Danio rerio: one gene and its partner. The protein of the gene in region 2 interacts with the protein of the main gene of each other region in a biochemical or structural test. Links are inferred from orthologs where the notes say so. Each region holds a gene or a part of one and is shown on either strand. Other genes may lie near its edges.

Evidence for each region. The genes of interacting proteins can lie anywhere in the genome.
Region 1: the proteins of kpnb1 (region 2) and kpna3 form a complex in vitro, tested with the Homo sapiens proteins (2 studies listed by BioGRID and IntAct, with this or other methods). The link is inferred for Danio rerio from reciprocal best matches to the Homo sapiens genes KPNB1 and KPNA3.

What each region holds. Positions count from the first base shown.
Region 1 is NC_133176.1:49,979,184-49,982,839, reverse strand, and holds part of kpna3 (importin subunit alpha-4), read left to right. Parts: intron 1-571; coding exon 572-616; intron 617-1,803; coding exon 1,804-1,935; intron 1,936-2,021; coding exon 2,022-2,150; intron 2,151-2,322; coding exon 2,323-2,427; intron 2,428-3,656. UniProt on the Homo sapiens protein: Functions in nuclear protein import as an adapter protein for nuclear receptor KPNB1. Binds specifically and directly to substrates containing either a simple or bipartite NLS motif.
Region 2 is NC_133194.1:51,609,632-51,613,387, reverse strand, and holds the end of kpnb1 (importin subunit beta-1), read right to left. Parts: intron 3,707-3,756; coding exon 3,563-3,706; intron 3,294-3,562; coding exon 3,188-3,293; intron 3,109-3,187; coding exon 2,994-3,108; intron 2,888-2,993; coding exon 2,726-2,887; intron 1,421-2,725; coding exon 1,420-1,420; 3' UTR 408-1,419; downstream 1-407. Other genes in the region: csf3b (colony stimulating factor 3 (granulocyte) b precursor), read left to right, coding at 1-124.

The DNA.
Region 1 (3,656 bases), on a different chromosome or scaffold from region 2:
CGTTCGTGTTGGTAAAAAACGATCCTTACGTCATCCAGTTGAAGATTTTGTAAACGAATTGAATAACTTGCAATACTACAGTAAAAATACTGTAATTTGATTGGCTAAACTGATCCCTTTAGCTGTTTTTTGACTGAATGATGTGTATGAGGCACTTTATAAACTGGTAATTAATTCATTACGCCACCGTTTTCAAAATTTCAACAGATATTATGCATTTCTTTTGCCTTTCAGTTTCGTCCGCAGTAATCTGTCTGTGTGTGTTTTTAGCATCTATTCAGTCAGATATAATGCTGTGTATGCTGCGTGCCAATATTTAATATTGTGCTCATTTCTCTTTTCTGCTATCTGTAATCTGGAGGTGTCGCTTTGAGCTGAAGGGAACATATTGTACCTCCTGCTGCTATGAAATCATTAGACTGTGTTTTCACTCTCTCTGTGTGTGTGATATAGCAACTGCTTCATTGATGGCAGGTCTAATGAATATTCTGTTGCGCTACAGCTGATTTCATGTTTACATGCGGTCTGCTTATTCAGTTTCAACTAAAAGATGTCTGTTTTTCTCACTCAGATTCTTCCTGCCCTCTGTGTACTCATATATCATACAGATATAAATGTAAGTACATGTCGCACTACTTCTTCCAAACAAAAAAGTGCTACTTTTAATTGGATAGTGCAGTAAATGTGGTTTAAGTGTCTAGCTCACCCAAAAGTGAAAATTCTACCATTATTTGCTCGCCATTCACTTGTTCAAAACCTATTTGGGTCACTTCTGTTGAGCACAAAATAAGATATTTTGAAGAATGCTGGTTGACTTTGTGCAGAAAGAAAGTTTAGAAGGGCTTTATTTTGCAAAAATGATTAGCTGACTAGATTAGCTTGGTTATTAAATGACTGCTTGCCGTACATATCAAAACAAATTTCATTTTGGATTAAAGAGCCCCTGTTTAGCATTGTAAAAGGTCATGTTTTGGTTTTGGGGGTCTCCAACAGCAGTCTGATATGCAATCTATATATAAAAATACTTTTATTAAAATATGCATTTATTTTGACCCAGTTATCCCAATGACTCCCATATGATTCGTTCAGCGATTCATTTGCTCTCAAACCCCTCCTTGGGATGAAGCTAATCTGCGCTGATTGGTCTAGTCTGTTGTGGTTGTTTTGTGATCTCGTGCATTCGGCAGGAGATGGAGAGAAGCGTCCAAGTAGTAGTCAGAGCACAGAATATATGTGTGAGCCCAATGCAGGAATGCATTAAAGCCATGCAGTTAAATATCAGCATATTACTCTGTTCTTAACCACAGCCCCAAGTAGAAACAATTCAGTACAGACACACTTTCAGTATTAATCTACACAGTGGCAAAAGTTGAACTATTTTGAAAATTGACTGCGTGTATGAAGAACAGCTGATTGTGGCCATAGCAACTATATATATATATATATATATATATATATATATATATATATATATATATATATATATATATATATATATATATATATATATATATAAAAATAAATAAATATGAAATTAAAAAAATTGTGTAATTTTGGACCCGGACATTATTGGAGTAGTTTTAGGTGCCAAATGTGTATTTGAAAAATGATCTATTGTCTTATTTTAGTGTTGCAAACGTTGTAAACTAAACATACATTTTCCTTTAGGCTAAACTTTTCCTAATATCTCACAAGTTTGTTGATAATTGTGCAGCATGATCACTTCATTTAATCTGAAGTTTATGCAAATGAAAACAGTCTGCGTTTCTCATTTAACGTCCTCAAATCTGCTGTTCTCTGCAGATTCTGGTAGACACAGTGTGGGCTCTGTCGTATCTGACAGATGGAGGTAACGAGCAGATTCAGATGGTAATAGACTCAGGTGTTGTCCCGTACCTTGTCCCACTGCTCAGCCACCAAGAGGTCAAAGTTCAGGTAAAAACACATGCACATTTATGAATCTCTGTACACTCTAAAACCAAAAGCTGGCTTCTAATGTTGTTCATGTATTGTCCGCTCAGACTGCAGCGCTGAGAGCGGTGGGGAACATTGTAACCGGGACAGACGAGCAGACTCAGGTGGTGCTCAACTGTGATGTTCTTACTCACTTTTCCACCCTGCTCACACACCCCAAAGAGAAAATCAACAAGGTGAGACACAGAAACACACATCACATCTGAGCCTATTTGTGTGAGGTTTACTCAAGATGATGAATCACAATTGCTTTACTTGGCTAATTTCATAAGTGACTCTAGAAATCTCTGCAGTCCCAGTTTAAACGCAGTGCCTTGTGTTTATTGTACATCTGTGATGCGTCTGCAGGAGGCGGTGTGGTTCCTGTCTAATATAACAGCAGGAAACCAGCAGCAGGTGCAGGCTGTAATAGATGCTGGTCTCATACCCATGATCATTCACCAGCTTGCCAAGGTAAGATGACTAGCACTTGGGCTACTGTACATTGAGTTAGTTTATATATATATATATATATATATATATATATATATATATATATATATATATATATATATAAAGCAGATTTAGAAACCTTTTTTGATGTTCAGTTCTGAAAACTGAATTAAATGGATGTGTAATACATCCTTCATACTAATTCTAGCTTGACTTAGGGCTGCATCATTTGGAGATAAAAATCCAGTTGCAATTTATCTGATCAACATTGCGATTTGTGATTTAAAATGTAATGTACTATCATTTCATAAGAGCTGCAGGTTTGATGTGGTGGTTTTAACAGCACCAAAGAAAGACTAGGCATAATCACGCTACACTATAGTGTAGCGTACTATAAGTAGGCTACACTATGCTTCTGTTTATTAAAACCATTTTTCACAATAAAGTTGTCAGTTGTCATGACAAATTCAGAAAATAGCTACAGTATTTTACATTCAATTTGATAAAGTGTATATAAAACTTTTACTTTTAGATTGATGCATTAGAATATTATAAATTACATGAAATCCAACCTGAACTCTCTCATAGAATTTTAAGACATTTTTAGACTAGATTTAATCAAGTGGTTATTACCAGATGTCGTATTGGGCATACGAGAATAAACTATGTTTTTTTGCCCCAAGGTGAAAACCCTACTCAGTCTTTGTGCTGCACAACTCCTCATTTTACTGGACTGTCCTGTTTTTAATGATTCCAGAAGAATTTTTTATGAAATAAACTCTCTTTAGGACATTTTTAGCAGTGACACCAGAAAAGATTTTAGAATTATTATCATGTATTAGTACTAAAAATCTTATTTAATTTATGTATTCATTTGTTTGTTTATTTTTAATTGTATATTTATTATTGAAATGTTCCTGCCATGAAAATAGCCGTGGGTGCTGACATGGCATTAAATAAAAACACATTACATTACTTTTAGATTGCAGTACATTCTTCATATAGATTTCATTACATTCACAGTGCACTTACAATGCTTTACATGCACAATTTTAGATTTTATTTCACAGCACAATAATTATTATATTTAAATCTCATAATAATTCATAAATATATTTATATATTTAACAATTTTGTCCTTTAATACAAGCAGTCAGATATGTGAACTGTACCCTTAATTTTACCTGCTCAAAGAAAACACAGTCTTTTTGAATGTTGCTCCAATACACGCACTGAACAACATGAGCATA
Region 2 (3,756 bases):
TCTCTCGGCTCCACTCAGCCAGTTCAAGCTGCAGGTGCGTGTGCGCGCGACACTCCGGCAGCTGCGCAGCTTCATGCAGGACGTGTTCCGCAGCCTGCGCTGCATCAGTGTGTCTCAATGCTAACTGCACGCACATACACACACACCATGACTTTCGCTACATATTTATATATTTAATATTTATTGTTTTGAACATTTGTTATTTTGGTAGCCGACACATGTTGTGTTTAACACATGTTGACCGACACATGTTGTGTGTTTAACACATGTTGTGCCCTGTGGGTGCGCTGTAATGTTCTATTTAAATGTATTTATTATTAAATTATTTTCCTGAACTGGTCTTGTGGACGTGTGCTGCTCATTTATGTGCCATTATTGAAGACACAACACACACACACACACAGCAGAAAGATTTAATTTAACTTTATTTTCATATCAATGGAAAAATATAACCTCATACAAATGTCTGATTCTGTCCGTCGTCGTCTTCTTAAAAGCTCGGTGAATGACTCCAATTAAGTGCCGCAAGAGGAAAACAAAACAAAAAATTACAACCAAAAGCACATGGATGCTGCTCGGCTCGCCGCCGCTGACGTGTGTATTATTAATTCGCATCTTCTACGAGTAACACATTAAGCTCAAGTCCATCTGCACCGCTGGGTTTGGCACTCAGTTTCCTGCAAAACAAATAAAGGAGAATAAAGTCGCGTGTGGAGGTGTCTAATATCCCGTCGCTCCGCCGGAGCCTGCGCCTGTAGTGGCAATAGTCTTCCCTAGGCAGGGCAGGTGAAGCTCCGATCCGCACATCCATACTAACACACACCGGTAAGAGAACCATTACTCAATCAGCACTATTATTAAAGAAACACAGAGGAGGAGGAGGAGGAGGAGGAGGCCAGTAATGTAGCGCAGCCGTGACGAGAGGCCGGACGCCTCCACTGCCGCTCGCCGAGGGAACGCAAGAGCAGCTCACTCAATCGCAAACAAGATATTGATCACCTTTATTTATTATTGGTTGAAATATTGAGAGACGACGCGGAAACAGCGCCGCCCTCGCTCACTCACACACACACACTCCAGTCACGCCATCATGGCTCCAGCAGCAGGTTCCCGCGGCCGCCGTCTGCTAATCAGTGTGTGACGGTCAGTCCTGCAGCTGATCGGGCCGGGGGGAGGATCGGGTCAGGATGGAGAACGCGGGCAGGTGGAGAAGGTGGAGGTGTGTGCCGCTGTTCCTCTGCTGGAGCTGGACTGAAGGTGTGTGTCAATCTCTCGCTCTTACACTCGCTCTCACACTCGCACACACACTCATCAGCGCACAAGCACTTCTGTCCACAGCTCTAAAAGACAGAAGAACCGCAGGGCTTTCATTTCCATTTGTCCTGGTAGAAGAAGAAGAAGAAACTCCACAGCCGGAGATCTGCGCACACAGGAGAACAACACGTCACACACACACAGGAGAACAACACGTCACACACACGCTGAGAGGAACACACACACACACACACAGGAGAACAACACGTCACACACACACACACACACACACACACACACACACACACACACACACACACACACACACACACACAGGAGAACAACACGTCACACACACGCTGAGAGGAACACACACACACACACACAGGAGAACAACACGTCACACACACACACACACACACACACACACACACACACACACACACACACACAGGAGAACAACACGTCACACACACGCTGAGGAACACACACACACACACACAGGAGAACAACACGTCACACACACACACACACACAGGAGAACAACACGTCACACACACACACACACACACACACACACACACACACACACACAGGAGAACAACACGTCACACACACACGCTGAGAGGAACACACACACACACACAGGAGAACAACACGTCACACACACGCTGACTGAGGGCCAGAGGAACACACACACACACACAGGAGAACAACACGTCACACACACACACAGGAGAACAACACGTCACACACACGCTGAGTGAGGGGCAGAGGAACACACACACACACACACACACACACACACACACACACACACAGAGGAGAACAACACGTCACACACATGCTGAGTGGGGGGCAGAGGAACACACACACACACACACACACACACACACACACACACACACACAGAACAACACGTCACACACACACGCTGACTGAGGGCCAGAGGAACACACACACACAGGAGAACAACACGTCACACACACACACAGGAGAACAACACGTCACACACACGCTGAGTGAGGGGCAGAGGAACACACACACACACACACACACACACAGAGGAGAACAACACGTCACACACACGCTGAGTGAGGGGCAGAGGAACACACACACACACACACACACACACACACAGAGGAGAACAACACGTCACACACATGCTGAGTGGGGGGCAGAGGAACACACACACACACACACACACACACACACACACACACACACACACACACAGGAGAACAACATGTCACACACTCGCAGAGTGAGGGCCAGAGAAACACACACACACACACACACACACACACAGGAGAACAACACGTCACACACTCGCAGAGTGAGGGCCAGAGAAACACACACTCTCTGTGCTCCTCAGACTGGAGTGAACAGCTTTAACACACACACACACACACACACACACACACACACACACACACACACAGGCAGGTTTGTGGGGTCAGAGGTCACGCACCAGGCTTGGCTCTTCAGCTTGCGCAGCTCCTTGGCGGCCCACGTGGCCAGAGTCTTGGTTTTGCTGGTTTTGGATCTCCGGCCTTCAGTCAGCAGGTCATTGATCTGAGGACGCACCTCCACCAGCTTCATCACATCCTTCCCGAAGGTGGTGCACAGGTCCCTGACACACACACACACACACAGGGGTCAGACTACTGCACAATGTCTGTCTGTACGAGTGTGTGTGTGTGTGTGTGTGTGTGTGTGTGTGTGTGTATGTGCCTCACCCGATGAGCCCTACAGCATTAGCCACGACTCCGTCAGATCGGTCCTCGTCCTCTGCGATGTGGTGAATGAAGGACAAGATGAACTCCACACGCGGCTGAACCAGCATCACATCGGCTGCGCAGGAGAACACACACATTACGCACACGCCATGCAATGCTGAAGTGTGTGTGTGTGTGTGTGTGTGTTCACTTACGGTGCACATTCTCCTGGTCCCCCTTCAGGCCCTGGATGATGCCGGTGTAGGCCTCCAGACAGCCCTCACGCAGCTCGTTCAGGTAATCCACCATATCATAGTCCGTCTGCAGACACACACACACACACACACACACACACACACACACACAGCTCAGCTCGTGTAACAGACAGACAGTGTGTGTGCTGTCAGCGGTCAGGTCTGGAGATCTTCTCATTGAACTGTTTAAGATCAGTGATAGCCCAGAGCAGCGCTGAACGTCTGCTCTACACGACTGAAGGACATCACAGCACCACAGATGATAATAGACAGAAGTTCAACAACAATCGTCAAACACTGAGCGCCGTGTGTGTGTGTGTGTGTTCATCTGCTCACCTTGTCCACCTGTGCCTGCGAGGCCTGCTGCAGAGTGTCCAGCACAATGTCCAGGTACTTCTTGAATTCTCCTCCAATGGCGAGAGCGATGTCTCCAAACACAGACAGAATCTGGGGCTTGACGGAGCGGTGCACATTCTCATTCTGCGCGCACACACACACACACACACGATTACATGCTGAACTAGTGTAAG